Linked DNA regions of Alligator mississippiensis. The protein of the gene in region 2 interacts with the protein of the main gene of each other region in a pairwise test. Links are inferred from orthologs where the notes say so. Each region holds a gene or a part of one and is shown on either strand. Other genes may lie near its edges.

Region 1 (7,466 bases), on a different chromosome or scaffold from region 2:
CCCTTCAGCCTCTCCTTGTACGGCCTGTCCTCCAGACCTCTAATAATTCGTGTGGCCCTCTTTTGAGCTCTTTCAAGACTCTCCACATCCTTCTTGAAGTGTGACACACAGCATTGGATGCAGTACTCCAGCTGAGGCCTCACCAGTGCAGAGTAAAGCAGGAGGATGACATCCTTAGTTTTTCTTGAGATGCATTGGTTGATGCATGCCAGTGTCTTGTTCGTTCTGCCGGCTTATAGCATCACATTGGTTGCTCATATCCCAGTGTCAAAAACCCCAGTGTTGAAAAAATCAATGTGGTGCATGTACCAGCAGCATGCACCACCAGAAAGGGTGCCTGGCCAGCCAGAACCATGCTCTGGCTGCTGGCAAGGCTCCGAGTGGCTGGATTGCTGCTGCTGCTGCCCTGGGAGGCCCGTAGGACTCCAGGTAAGGCTCCTAGGGCTAGCTTAGATGCTGGCCCCAGCCTCTCCTACTCTGTTGGAGACAACTTGCCATACATCAACCCTGCATGGAGGGGCATGCGCTGTAGCAAAAAGCAGTGGCACAAATTTGTGATGCTGCTGTTTTTGCGGTGGCAACCACCTGCCCCTGCATGTGGGAACACACCATAGGAGGCTTTTCTAATATAGCTATAACCAGCCAATCTCATCAGTTTTAAGCACAGTCAGGGAATTATGGTTTTGTTTTTTTCTGAACTATCAAAGGGGACAAATCCGATGCATGTTTTTAAAGCATTTTACTTCATCCCAGCCCCTGAAACCTCTGGACAATTGTGGCAAGTAGATTAAAAGAAGTAATAGTGACACCAACCTGAAAATAACAGCCTAAATAGGCCTCTTGGGGCCTAGTTTGTTATGCAGATAAAGTAATTCAAAACAATTCAAGAGGGCAGTTAAGGCCCTGTAACTCTCTGGTGACAGTGGTTCAGCAGTACTTTTCCAGAGAGATTGTTAGACCACGGGAATGTCAATGGAGGAGTCCTGCTGGAACGGAAACAATGTTCTCCCCACCTAAACAGCTCAAACCTGGTTTGAGGCCAGGGTAAAAGCTTTTACCTGGCATGCATGTAGGCAGAAAAGTGTGAGCTAGCTACTGAAAGTGGCATAAGGCCCTTATCTCAGGGATTCATATCAGAGACAGGCAGACAAATGGGAGGTTTCAAATTTTCACTAAGCTGAACATTTCTTTATCTCTTGTGGTGACTCATCTTAGTAAAGAGGCAAAAGAATAGAAAGAAAGATGAAAACAAAAATTCAAAGCCACAGAAGGATTTATTCCTTCAGGTGTGAGGTCTGTGGGGTCTCATAAAAAACAGTCAGCTGAATCCCAATACATCCCCATTTATTATAATCAGTGCATGGGGCAGGTGGAGAAATGACTGAGATAGTTCTGCCTGGAAAAAAAAAATCTGTTCTGTGGTACTTTTAAATTATCTTTAATTTGATCATTTCTGAAGCACCTGCTTTTTGTTGCAAGAGATATGCTGTGTGTCAAATGTCCAGAAGTAAAAGTCATTAACCTCAAATTGTTACAGAAAAATTAAAACATACAAAGCCAAATTCATACATGGTATAACTCCAGGATAGAATTTGCAATGTGCTGATATCAAGACACACACCAGGAATCACCTGGATATTCATTTTCAAAGGGTACACGTCATAGACGAACAGTTTTGAAATCTATTCCTACTTCTGAAAAAATCTGCATCGCTGCACATTTCGCCCTTTTATTCCAGATGCTAGACACCTGTCATCCATTTTGTCAGAATCCCCTTCCAAACCTTATTTATTTTTGTTCTTAATTCAATGATGTCACTATCTTCCTGTCTCTGACTACACAACATAGGTATATAAAGTAATCGCTACATGATAATTTGCCTTGTCCTCCACTTCATATTTTAATAACACTTTTTCCCTTAGTAATGAGTTGAAGGTCCCGAGAGAGGTCTCGGGGAAGGAGAGGAATGCAGCAAAACCATGCTCTCTTGATTTATCCGCCCCCACTGTGCTGACCATGAACTGAAAACAGAGCTTCCAAGAGAACAGAAGAGTGAAACATTGCTAATTAAGCTGCATGCAAAATGAAGGCATTTGTCTTTTGACACGGTGTCATATTTTCAGACATTTTGGCCCAGACTGGAAACTTCCTATGAAGAGTAATGAGCAGAATGAGGACACCGGGAACCATTGCTCCCCAGTAATAGCCCAACATTCATAATCTGAGCCCTTTGGGAATCACTCATGACAGCCTTCAGCAGGAAAGAAAAGGAAAAGGAAAAGGAAAAGGAAAAGAAAGAAAAGAAGCCACCACAAAACTTCCAGCTGGCAGTAACATAAGCCAAACATGCCTATATAGTAACTCCTTAGTAACTTATTATTGTAATGGTAATATTTCTGATCCTTTACACAGATTCCTAAGAGCCAAACACTGCTTTTTTATGAAGCGCCTAAAAGCATTAACAGTATTAATCATGTCTAAAAGAAATGCATTTGAAAAGTAACTGCATGTACATGGGGTCTGCATCAGTAGCACAGTATGTAAACCAGACACTAGGAGGACAAACTGCTGTCACTTTGAATATGCACTCTCCATGGCCCTTCCACCCTCACTGGGGGAGTAGATCAGGCCGAGCAATATAACTTACCACTCATCAACGGATTTGATAGAGAAGATGCATGTGGCTGGCCTTCCGCTCCCAGGGATTTGCTGGCATTTCCATGTACTCTCTCATTATCCATTGCACCCTAGGCAGTCTAGTTTCTGTTATTTCTCTTCAAGGTTGGTCATGAGAGTTCAAATTCCATCTTCCCTGATGAAATGCCTAGTTATGGGAGTAATCTATTAAGCAGATTGTTGTGTGTGTCCAAGTCAAGCAGACTGCAGCCGACTGGAACTTGGCTTGGCAGCAGTTCGCACAGAAATTCGAGTACCTGTGCTCGGATTTAACGAAACACCTCCTCATTTACTTGGTGGACAGGCAGAGAACAGACAGACCACACTGCACAAAAGCAAGGGATGTGTCTGATGTCATATCCTTTCAAAAGCCACGCCCAATCAGTAAGTCTGCCTTCTGTTTTTATCAGGCAGGAAATTCTTAGTTTGCCAAAAAAAACAAAACAGAAAGAGCCAGTTCAACTAGTTAAGCAAACTGCCTTCGGGGGGGATTTGTAAAGATAACTTAGAAAGTAAGTAGTGTTTGCTGTTTTCCACTACTCAGATGGAATTGCTTTGAGACAACATGCTTTTCACATATACTATGCCTCTGTGAATATGGTATAGTACATAAAAACCCTGACAGCATCAAAAAATCTCATGACAGCATGCAAAAACAACAGTGGGGAGGGCTCTTTTTACACAGCACGAGTCACTACATACCATGAGAATATTGAAACCACATGTTCGCAGAGCTGTACTTTTCACTAGAAGTGCTTTCTTGTCTCTATAGCATGAAAAGCATGCTCTTCTATAGGCTTATTTATTGGTATTAATTTCAGTTAACTTCACCAAATCATGTTGCACCAACATTTTAAAACTGATTTTTCACCTAAACTAAAAACCATGAACTCCAGGAAAGTAAACACAGACATGTTTTTCGAAAGGACCTCAACCTAGTATAACTTTGTACGCAAACAGATCATTTCTCCATTTGCTATTTGGTCTCAAATTCTGTAATCTACAGGCACAAAGTCCATTTGTTCTTAATGAATATGCAAATGTAACCATTTTTATTCACAGACAAGAACTTCATGAAAAAGTGTCATGCACTCAAACAGGAGTTGCATATTTTACACCTGCCCACCAAGGTGAAATTCTTATCACCTGCCCCAAATCTTCATAGGTTAACTTTATTTCTATCTATAACATATAAAAAAGAACAAGTAATAACTTCTAAGTGTCTTTGCCATGACTGGAAAATACAGTCCCATTCAAAGATAAAACCAGCAGCCGTGCCTCATCCCCACACTAATGGGAAGCACAGAGTAAATTAAACATCACCTGGCAATTCCAGAGCTCCCTCTGACAAGCTGCTTTGTGTGAAGCTGCTGCCCATATAGTGGCCATACAGACTTTTAAGGTCCTCTCCATCTCTAAGATGAATTCTGCCACTGTTCCTGTTCCAGTTTCTCTGCCACACACCCTGATCCTGGCATCCTTATCAGTTATGCCTTCTGGAAATGAGACAACATCTTTCAGCTGCCCTAAAACCCCATAACTAATGCTGCCTCTTCCTGTGCTTTCAGCCCAAGGTATAGCTTAAGTAAGTACACCCTTTCCAAGAGCTTGACCTTATGGCCACTCTGATTTACAGTTTAGAGTACATGCAATAGTTGAAGCAAATAGGCATAGATTTACAAAAGGGGTTCTAAATCATTCAGTCTTTATTTTAGAGAACACAAGAAGTACCCAGATATAGACAAAACAGTAAATGCCCCCTTGGGCCTCAATATCATCACCACTTCTGATCATTTTTAAAGGATTTTTTTAGGGTGGATCAATGACTTTTCGAAGCTCCAGCAACCTTCTCTGGAACTCCACTCTTCCAGGCTAAGCATCACTTCTGAATTACAGTCATCTTTTATACCTCTGCAGCAAGCTTTGTTTCCTATTAGATGGTTCTTAAGTCAACAGGCCTTCTGGCACTCAAGAAAACTGTCCTCCAGTTTTCTCTGTGAATTACTCTTTTTGTTCCCTTTTGGGAATTTTTGCAAAATCCTGAAGAATCCTTATTTTGTGTAGACAAAACAAATAATATTGTTTTCAGTTAGGAAGCAGCCATCTTTTCATTTTTTTCAAGGAGCACCAATTCTTGTGTTGATGGGTCTTTATTGACTGTTCTATTCAGAGACAGACATTTAGATGCCCCTTTCTGTCTGCTTAGCATAATGGCAAGAATTACAGTAAAGATAATTATAAAACATCAAGCATACAGGCCACTCATAATTAGGGTGACCATATGTCCTGGACTGGCCAGGACAGTCCCAGATTTCAGAGTCTGTTTCAGCATCCCAGCCATCGGATAAAATTGAAGCAAAACTCCTGGAACCCACCCTTACATGCAACTCCTCAGTCAGGAGCCAGGCACATGGGCGAGGGACAGACATTACACATAAACCAGTTTAAGTGATCAGAATTCAGAAACTAATTTAAACCTGTAACAGAACAGATGTTCAGTGCACATAAACCAGTTTGAAAATGGATGTAGTATCAGACTTAACTGGTTTGGGTCAAACTGGTTTATGCAGTGTTTGTTCCAGACCCCTTGGTGGTTTAACTTAAACCAGACTCCCCCAGCATCCCAGCTTGCTCTCTGGGCTGGGCAGGGCTCTCTGCTCCACAGCAGGGCTGGCTCCTCCCCTCTGCTCCCTGGCTGGAGCTTAACAGAGACTGCAGGCTGCTCCATCCCACCCTCCCCCCAAACACACACTCCCTGCTAAGCAGGAATTCTCCCCTCCCCTCTGTCTTGCTGAGAGGTGTCTGCATATTAGCTAGCAGACCACATGCTGGCTACAGTCCCTGCTGTGGTAGATGGGACAAAGGTGGAATCAACAGCTAGCTGGTAATATCCCTCTGTTGTTTTCTTAAGGGGGTGATAAACACTGAGTTAGGGATGATAAACACTGTGTTAACAATTCCCTGCTGGGCTGCTCGCGGGGGTGGGGGGGAACCCCCTCCCTAATCAGAGCATCCTGCCGGGGCCTGGCCCTGCACCCCTCAGCTCAACCTTGTTGAAGGGAGGGGAGGGCTGCTCTAGTGCCCCCCAGCTTCTAGCCTGAGCCACTGCAGGCATGTGCCTGCATGTCTGGGATATCTGTACAGTTACCAACTGATTTAGCCTAGCCAGGTTAGACTAACCTGCAAAGATTGAATCAATTCGGGCTTAGGCTTTTTGAATGTCTGTCCCTAGCCATACGGGCAGGTTCCTACCAATCCAGGACTTTTGCTTTAATTTTCTCCAGAGAGCCCAGCCAATGGACTGCTTCCTGGTTTGGACCCCGCTGGGCTGCAAGCAGGGTTAAGAGATGGGTGCGCAGGGAGCCATGAGGTCAAGGGTGTGTGTGTATGTATGTATGCACCATGGTGTCTTGCCCAGCCCTGCTCCTGGGAGCTGCTGAGGTGGGGAGGTGCACCCCCTGGGGCCACCCACTACTCCCTCATCCCTCAAATTATTATGGTTTCCCTCAAATGATTATGGTCACCCTATTCAAAATCCCAAACAGAATTTTAGGCAGATTGCCTGAATTCTTCCTCTGTGACAACCTTTATCATCTTTAAAAGCCATGTTAAAAGTGGTTCTCCAGTTTCTCTGTCTCCAGTCAGATTTTATAGTGGTGGTTTTCAGACTTCAACTTTTCTAAAAGATGTTTTTGCCATCCTTATTCACAGTGACTAGTACCTTATTCTCCAAGCAGCCTCAAATCATAGTATCCCTGTTTTCCTGCTGTTGGTCCTTGGTACCCACATTTTAATCTTCCTCTTCAGAACATTCTTCACTGCACAGCTGCAGTTGACTAGTTGCCTCTCCCCATTTGTACTTGTGCATGCCATGCATTCTCCTCAGAGGGCTCTATTTGCTTGCACAGGTCTCATTTCAAAAGAATTTTCGGTATCAAGTATAATACCAACAATTTTTTTGTTTGCTTGTTTGTTTTTTAAGGAAAATTTTTTGTCCCCCCAAGTCAAATCAGCAAATCAATTCCAAATCCATGAGTCATTCAAGAACCATATGTGGCCCTGCTACCAGCAAACATCCTCCACCCCCACCTGGGACTTCAGATGCTTCCAAATCCTTTGGCAGACATCCTACGTACAGATCCAATCCCCGAGGCTTGGGGTTCAGATGCCCCCAAGTTTCACTTGCCCTCAACCGTATGGCCACAGGAGCAAGCTAGGGAGGAGTGTCCCATTCCATAAAGTTGGCATATAGTAGACTAACAATGCATTACCTTGGTTAGGGTACTACCCCCTGCGCGGGCTGGGAGCGGTCCAAGGCTTTCAGGGGCGCACGGCGGGCTGTGGCCAGGAGCCCGCAACGGTAGGGCGGGGACTCTGGCACGACGGACTACAATTAGGCACGGACTCGTAGCGGTTAATTAAAGATTGTTTTACTTACACCGTAGGTGGTCACGGTGCAGGCAGGAAAAACTTTCTTGAGTTGCAGTTACAGACAAACACAAGTGGAGTTTGCTAGGCTCCACCGAAGACACACGCACGGAGTTTGCTAGGCTCCGCAAAACAAACACGACAGAGCTCTGGATACTCTTGACGAGCATGCAAAACCGTAGATACATCTTAAGAATTTAACGAACAAGACGGGAAGAGGTTGGTGGTTGATCAGGCCGCCAAACTCCTCTGAGACACACACAAAGTTTCTATTACTCTGCCATGTGCTCAGAGTCCCCACGAGATGGTTGTGGAGTCCTCTACAACTTGGGCGGAAACTGCTCAAACCTCTTATATGACTA
Region 2 (8,169 bases):
GCTAGGTGGTGTAGGTGTTGCCTGTCAGGGCTCCTGCAGAGGTGATGTGATGTGGCCTGGGCTGAACCCCACCCCCCAGCCCTGCAGGGTCTAGCCCTACACTGGGGGGGGGGGGGGGTGGAAATGGAGGCAGTTGACAGACCCTTCCAGGGGCTGGAGCAGGTTGGAGCTTTGGGCTCAGGTTGTCATATGTTGGGGGGGGGGGGGTACAGGTCATCTTGGGTGAGGGGGTGGGAGCACTACAGCAGCCCCCACAGCTCCTGCCTGCCCCATGCCCCCTGCCTCAGGGGGAGCTCAAGCCTGTGGGCCCTGGACCCTGCCGTGGAGATTTAGATTAGACATCAGGAAGAACTTCTTCACAGTAAGGGCTACCAGAATCTGGAATGGGCTTCCAAGGGAGGTGGTGCTCTCCCCTACCCTGGAGGTCTTTAAGAGGAGACTGGACAAGTACCTGCCTGGGGTCATCTGACCCCAGTGATCTTTCTTGCCCAGAGCAGGGGGTCGGATTTAATGATCTACTGCGGTTCCTCCGAGATAAACAGTTATGAAATGTATGGGGGGCACCCCCCCCTCCCGGTGCCCCACACCTTGGCCTGCCCCTGCCTGGCCCCCAGTGCAGACAGCAGGCAGCAGTGCTGGGGCCATCATGGCTTTATTGGGCCCGTGGGCGGGCATTGGCAGTGCTGGGGTGGGCACAGTGCCTACTTCTGGGCTGGGATCATGTCGTCAATGGTCTGGTTCTTCTCCAGCTTCTTCTCCATCTCCACCATGAGCTTGACACCGTCCACCACCATTTGCACCTGCTCCACCTCTGAGAAGCCCAGCCGGTCTGCATTGGAGACGTCATACACAGAGCCCACCGCCGCCGTGTCCACCCCGCCTGTGGGGGGGGAGAAGGGAAGGGTCAGTGCTGCCACAGCCCCTGCTCGTGCTGGCCCCAGAGCTGCTGAGCCCCAGGCTCTGTGCCCCCCCATCCTCCCTCCCCGCACGCCTATGCCCACTAGTGCCCAACCCCTGCACCCACCAGTGCCGCGCTTCTGCAGGCGCAGGCGCTTGAGGATCTCCTCGAACTTCGGGTGCTTGCTGAGGTGGGGCAGCTTGACGTGGACGCCACCACGCAGGCCCGTGCCCAGGTTGGACGGGCAGGTCAGCACATAGCCCAGATGTTGGTTCCACATGAAGGGGTGCCCGGCCTTCTTGAAGTCCTCCTCAATCTGCCAGGGCAGGGAGGGGGATCAGCACCAGGACCCAGCCCCCTCCTGCTCCCACCTTGCCAGCCCACACTGGCCTCCCTGAGCAAGAATAAAAATCCAGGCATGCAGGCCCCTAGCCTGCTCCTGCTCCAGCCCCCACTGGCCTCCCTGGGCAGGGGCAAGAACCCAGACAGCCAGACCCGCACCTTCTGGAGCCCAACACAGAAGCGACGGAAGACCTCCTTCATGTTACCACCCTTCTGCATGGAGATGACGCGCAGGTGGTCCTCCTCATTCACCCACACCAGGAAGGTCTTGTTGTCATTGTGCCTGCAGGGGTGGGGAGGGGGTGGCTGCTGTCAGGGCCCCTGCACCAGTCCTGTCCCCTGCACCCTGCCCCAGGTTCCCTCAGCCCTGGGGCTAGGACCCAGGCTTCCTGCTCCAGCCCACAGACTCCCAAAGGCAGATCAAGGACCCAGGAGTCCTGGGGCCAGCATGCAGTCTCCACTTCCCCCAGCTCTGGGGCTGGGACCCCAGTGTCCAGCCTGTGGGGGGCCTCACCAGATGCCGCGGGCATCAGGCCAATCGCGGGCCATGCCGGAGGCCAGCAGCAGGGGCGACACAGGCTTGTCAAAGAGAAAGTGGTCGTCGATGAGCTGCTGCTGCTCTTGGTCCGACATGTCCTTCAGTGGGTAGTACTTGCCCTTGAACTCCCCGGTCAGGCTGTTCAGGGCTGGGGTAAGACACTATGTCAGGGACGCCTGCAGGCACCCTGCAACCCGACCCTGCCAGGCACCCTGGAAGATGCCACCGTCCCTGCCCCATGTCCAGGGGTGTTCCCAGCTTCCTGGGGAATGGAGACTGGCCCCCAGCCCCATGCCCCCCACCTCACTGCTGATGGGGAGCTCCCCCCTGCCCCCATCCCCCACCACTCACTGCGGAGGGAGAGCTTCTCCACGGCACGGCGCTCCCCGCGGCTGCAGTGGGGGGGCAGCGAGTAGCCCTTGATGCTGCGGCCCGTGCGCACCCGGCTGCTCAGCACGTAGTTGGGGTCCAGGTCATCCCCACCCTGCACAGGCCAGAGGAAACGTCAGTGCGGCTGAGGGCCCCTTGCCCTGTGCGCCCCCCCCCCCCAAAGAAGCCATGCCAGGGCCCTCTCCACTTGACCTGGTAGCACCAGCTCTGCCGGTCCCCCACCCCAATCAGGCACCTTGAGGTTCTCATGGTTGAGGTCAGTCTTGTGCTGGTCGGTGGGCTTGTACCCGCCGTGCCTGTCCTGGATCACGGGGTCGAACAGGTCCTTGAAGACTTCATAGCTCTCCTCATCCCCAGCCACACAGCCTACAGTCATGATAAAGGGGTGCCCTGCGGGGTGGGGGAACAGGGTCAGGGTCATGGTCACCTGCCCCCAACCCTCACCTCTGCTCCACTTTTCCCTTCCACATACACTGAGGCCACCCGAACCCATGGCAGAATCACACCATATCAAATGTATCCCACAGGCCTCACTGCAGCAGTATCCTGGGCTTGGAGCTGAGTGAGACAAGGCTGGGAATAAGGGAGAGGAAGCCCCAGCTCCCTGCCCTTGCCCCTGTCACCCCCAGGCTGGGGGGTCCCCGGCTCCCTGCCCTTGCCCCCCTGCCCCCCACAGCAAAGGAGCCAGAGGACCTGGGTTGTCAACGCCGGTCTGGATGATGTCGTCGAGGGTGAAGCCGCTGGGGGTCTCCTTGTCCCGCAGCTTCTTGTAGATGTCCAGGGTTAGTGCCTTGGCCATGTGGTTGTTGTGCTTCGTCAGGTCGGGGAACTCGTCCTCCGCTGAGTAGTTGAGCTTGAACTTGTTGTGGGTGTTACCGAACGGCATGGTGGCGGTGGTGGTGGGCACGGCCTGAGGGCACCGGCACTCAGGGTGCTGCTCTGCTCCCTGCCACCCCAGTCCCAGTCCCAGTCCCTCTGGCTCCCATAGTTCAACGCTCCTGCCCAGGCGCTCAGATGCCCGGGCCGCGGGTGGCTGCCTATGCAGGGCACTGGTGGGGGCACCTGGCATGGGCCGGAGGCGCCCGGGGCAGGCAGGAGGCGGTGCCCCGGGGCTCGAGCGCAGCGGCGGGGGAGCACGTGGGGGAGGCCGGGGGGGCCAAGGCTCGGCGCCGCGCCCGGCAGCTGTCCGCGCTATTTATACCCGCGCTTTGCCCACAAAAGGCCCCGTCTGCGGGGCTGAGCTGCGTTCCTGGCATCCCGGGTCGGGCGCGGGCGGCGGCGGGGGCCATGCCGGGAGGGACCCACGCCCGGGCCGGCCCGGGCCGGCCCGGCCCTAGGCGCGGAGGTCCGTCCCCACGGTGCGGCCCGGTCCACCCCTGCCCCATGCCCTGCAGCGATACCCGGCTCCGAGCCCGGCCCCAGCCCCACAGCTCCTGCCCCAGCACCTAGCACCTAACCCCTGAGCCCCAGCCCTAGCCCCGAACTCCCCTCCGCACCTTGGACGGGACGGGGCGGACTCCTCGCGGGCTCGGCGCAGGTGACCCGGGGCAGCCCCGCGCCACGCCGCTTTATCCCGCGGGCCGCGCTCCCATTGGCTGGCGCCCGCTCGCGCCCCGGCCACAATTGGGCACCCGGCGGCGAGGAGGGGCCCCGGGGGGGGGGGGGGGTGCCGTCGGGATCTGGGGCCGGGGCTGAGCTGCCCCAGCCCATCCAGCCTCCCTGCCTGGGGAGGGGTCGCGCTGCCCCCCATGCTCCGACCTCGTGTTCCCCCCCAGGCCTCACCCCGGGCCAGGGGGGACGTGCAGGGCAGTGATGGGGTTGGGGAAGGTTTGCCCCTTCCTGCCCCAGGGCTGCCCCAGATGCAGCCCCTGGGGCCTGGATCCATGTGAGTGGGGCTTGAGGAGGCACTGGGCCCTGCCTGGACTCACCCTTGCCAGGGCATGGTGGTGGCCCTTGTACCCTGCCCCGGCAGCTGGGCTGACCGCAGTTGCTAGAGCCTGTGCCAGGCCCCCTGCCCCGAGCTGCCCCCCGCAGTCACCATGGGAACCCCGGGACCGTGCCCGGCTGCCCTGCCCTGCCCTGCCAGGGGGCGGTCCCCAGTGCTGGCACCAGCCCATCCCCTCAGGTACCAGCCTGAGGGTGCTGAGCAAGGCCTGGCTGGGATGGGAGCACATGACGCTGCTCCCCCTCACCCCCCCAGCCACCCGCCCCTCGCCCCCATGGCCGACGGCCCAGCACTTTATATAGGCAGCAATGCGGTGCTGGCTCACAGTGCCCTGGCCCCCACCCAAGCAACCCAGCCTGTCCGGGCCCTTGCTGGCACCAGAGCAGAGCAGCTGAGATCGTGTTTCCAGGGATCCAACCCCAGAGCAGGAAGGGGCCAGCAGCTGCAGGGCACCATGATTTATGGGGGGGAACAGTCCTGGGGCCCAGCTCACGTCCACCCCACAGAGTCTGGTGGTGGGCATCAGCCTGGGAGGGTGCTGAGACTGGTCTCGGGCCTCAGGGCCTGGTTGGTGTCGGGACATCCCCAGTGCCCTTGGGGGAGCAGTGGCTTGGGCAGCTCCCAGGTGCAAAAGGCACAATGACCCCTGGCAGGGAGTGGGGCTCGGGGAAGAAGCGTTAAGGGATGAGGTCACAGTGGGCACTGGAGTAGACCGAGGACAGGGGGGCAGCAGGGGCTCTGTGCTGGGGGTGCAGGGCTGAGGCCTTGCCCGGAGAGTGCCCAGTGCATGGGATGGGCGCAGGCTCGGGGCTGTGCCAAACACCGGAGTTTGACACATCAGCGTAACCTGAGCTCTGGCCCCTGGCACCACGGCTGGGAGACAGGAATGCTGGGGGTCAGGCTGAGCCGGACCCTGCAGGCTCCCCAGAAGGGGCTGGTCCCAGGGGCACTGCTAAGACCCCCATGTGCCCCCCTCTGGGCAATTGATTGCCTGCTGTGTGCCCTTCCTGCGGGCACCTGGGACTGTGGCTGGGCTGGCAGTGCCCACGGGGCACCCTGCCTCACTCCAGCTCCCTGCTGGCTCTGGGGGCTGGAACAGGACTGGATCTTGCCCAGGGATCTGCTCAAGGGCCCCTGGGGTGGACGGGGGTGGAGGCAGCAGGTGCAGGGACAGCAGCTGTGCAGAGGGGTGCGGGCCCCGCCTGCGTATGCTGGGCCGGGAGATCAGGTTTCAGCCCAGCCCTGCAGGCAGCTCTGGGGGGATCTCCCTGCTCAGGCTGGGGCTCCTGCCAGGCTCCACTGGCTGGGGGGGTGCACAAGCACAAGCTGGGGTTTGTACATGTATCCAGGGGCCTGCATGTAAGGCCTGGAAGGGGCTGTGACCCTGACACACTGAGGACCTAAATCCTACTGCTCCCACCCTGCCCAGGCACCCAGCTGCGTCCACTGGTGTCCCCTGTCTTGTGCACATCTGTAGGGCCCACATGTGGAGTACGCAGGGGCTACATGCAGTGTGTAGCATGTCCCGGCACCCGGGGAGCAGGCCATGCCAGTCAAGGCCTTGGAGAAGAGCCACAGTATGTGCATGTGTGTGTGTGGAGGGGAGTGGGGTGCGGGCTGGCTGGCACCTGCCCCTGGCCAGGACCTGGCACCACCTCAGCCAGCCCCTGCCTCGGGCACAGGCCCAAAGCACCCCCAGCTGGGCGCCCCTGTCTGGAGGTCACCTTGCCGTGGGCATCACAAGGCCAGGCGTGATCTTGGCTGGAAATATCACGGCACAGGCAGGTGGCCACAGGCAGGGCCAAAATTAGCAGCAGGGCAGGAGCCAGCTGGTTGGAGCTGGGTCCTGCTGTCCCCCGGAGGTGCTGAGACCCCGCCGGATGTGTGTGTGTGTGGGGGGGGGAGTGGGACATGGGACCACCTGGCACCCTGCTGAAAGTTGGAGCCCCCCAGCCTGGGGCAGCCACAGCACAGCCTGGCAGGCACTAGCCCATGCTCCTCCAGGAGTGCTCAGGGCAGCTGTGGGCAAGCTAATCCAGCAGGCTATCTGGGGGTCTTCCAGCCCCAGGGCAAGGGCTGAGCTCCAGGAATAGGCTGCAGCATGTACGACAGTCACTAAACCAGCTCGGCACTGGCTCAAAATAGCAGGACCCACCTGACTGGGGGCCAACCAGGATCTCCCTGGGGGACTAGAGGCACCACAGGGGAAGGGGGCATTGTGGGGCAAGGCCTGCAGCCCCATCATTCTATGCCCCAGGGCCCAGGTGCTCTTGGCCCTGTGCCCACTCCCCACCTGCCAAACACGTTGGGGTGGGGAGGTCACAGCAGCCTGTGCCCAGATCTATGTTGAACCCCCTGCTGCACCAGCCTTCAAGGGACCCATATTGCCATCATCACCCCTCCCCCCACCCCACTTCCAGGCCAGGGGGTGTTCACCATGTTCCCCTCCTACACTGTCTGCTCATGGAAACTGAGGCAAGTGTGATGGCAGAAATTGGCTCTGCATTTCTTCATGCACATGCCTGCACATGCACATGCCCATGGCAAGAGCCTGCAGTGACCTGCCCACATACCTCCACCCTGCCCCCTCAGCTGTGCTGGGCCCTGGGGCATCGCAAGGCTGGGGGAGCTGGTGCTGGGCCTGGGGGGAACCCCCCACCCCAGGCAGTCCTGGTAGGGGTGCCCTGTGCAATGACCTCTGAGCTGATCCGCTGGATCATGAGAATTCAATCCCAGCAGGCTGGGCCGGTCGGGGGGGGGGGGGGAGGGCGGGTGAGCCAGTATTTTTAGAGCCAGCTGGGCAGGCAGGTCGGGTTTCCCACAGTGCCTGTATCTGCACTGCTGGCCTGGCCTGAACAGGCCCACGGCGCCAAGAGGCCCATCCTGGCGCCCGACCCCTCGCTCAGTGCCTGCCTGCACCCAGCTGGGCCACAGCAGCTCCAGCGTTGGGCCATGGCCTGGGCACTTCAGCAGGAGGTGGAGGAGGAGGTGTCTCCTCCCAGCTTCCCCTGGGCTGCCCTGGGACACCTGCCCTGACTCCCCAGCCCAGCCCCACCAGCAGCTGCTGCCCCTGTTCTCAGGACCTGCCCCTTCCCCTGCTGCTGGCTCTCCCACCCTGAAGGTCCAATGCAGGCCCTGGGAGGCACAGAGCAAGCACTAATTACCGCAGCCCCAGCTGGTGCCTGTGATTACCGCTGTGCTCGGTAATTATGGCCTGTCCCCACTGGGCCAAGCCCTGCCAGTGCTGGCCCAGTTCTCTGTTCTCCTCAGCTGGACCCATGGGAGCCATTGTGCCACCTGTGCCCCCAGCCAGCCCAGCAATGCCAAAGCCTGGTCCCAGGGAGGGAAGGGCCCTGAGGAGCCTAGGGGCATCTCCAGCTGCCACAGGGAGTGGGGCTGAGCCCAACAGCCAGAGGCAGCTCTGCCCTGGTGCAGCCACTGTCTGTGCTGAGCTGGGGCAGCTGTGCTGTCCTGCAAGGGCTTTCAGACTGCCAGGCCCTGCTGGGTCTGGGGACAGCTGAGCCTGGGGAGGAGGGGGCTAAAGGGGGCTGCCTCTCTGCAGGGGGCACAGGAGGGCCTGGGAGTGGCCTAAGGCAGTGCTGAGTGGGGGGGGGGGGGGCACAACCATGTGCACATGCACTCATACACATGCACACTCACACACACAAGCACACATGCACTCACAAGAAAGCGCACACACAGATACGTGCAAACAGGCACACATGCAAACACACAAACCCAAAGACAAATGCATACACAAGCAAACACACAAACCCAAAGACAAATGCATACACAAGCAAACACACATGCGAGGAGTAGTCCATCTATTGGCTCCTCTGTGAAATCCTATGAAATATGAACTTTCATTTCGACCCAGGAGAACTTTCACAATCTTTTCTCCAATGCCTCATCAAGGGTGTTTGCGCCTGAAAACTTGCAATTAAAGAACTTCTTTTGTTGCAAAAACGTAGTTGGTCTAATACAAGATACTATCTCTACTACGAGTCCCGACTGCGTTTTCCTTCAGACCAATAGGGCTACAATCCGGATACCTGA

Evidence for each region.
Region 1: the proteins of CKM (region 2) and ASB9 interact in binary tests that used the Homo sapiens proteins (3 or more experiments, as listed by UniProt). The two-hybrid records come from large-scale screens. The link is inferred for Alligator mississippiensis from reciprocal best matches to the Homo sapiens genes CKM and ASB9.

The regions. Positions count from the first base shown.
Region 1 is NC_081824.1:323,041,404-323,048,869, reverse strand, and holds the start of ASB9 (ankyrin repeat and SOCS box protein 9), read right to left. Parts: upstream 3,027-7,466; 5' UTR 2,742-3,026; coding exon 2,648-2,741; intron 1-2,647. UniProt on the Homo sapiens protein: Substrate-recognition component of a cullin-5-RING E3 ubiquitin-protein ligase complex (ECS complex, also named CRL5 complex), which mediates the ubiquitination and subsequent proteasomal degradation of target proteins.
Region 2 is NC_081838.1:164,756-172,924, forward strand, and holds CKM (creatine kinase M-type), read right to left. Parts: upstream 3,079-8,169; 5' UTR 3,055-3,078; coding exon 2,862-3,054; intron 2,559-2,861; coding exon 2,404-2,558; intron 2,263-2,403; coding exon 2,130-2,262; intron 1,927-2,129; coding exon 1,755-1,926; intron 1,524-1,754; coding exon 1,400-1,523; intron 1,215-1,399; coding exon 1,025-1,214; intron 881-1,024; coding exon 702-880; 3' UTR 634-701; downstream 1-633. UniProt on the Homo sapiens protein: Reversibly catalyzes the transfer of phosphate between ATP and various phosphogens (e.g. creatine phosphate).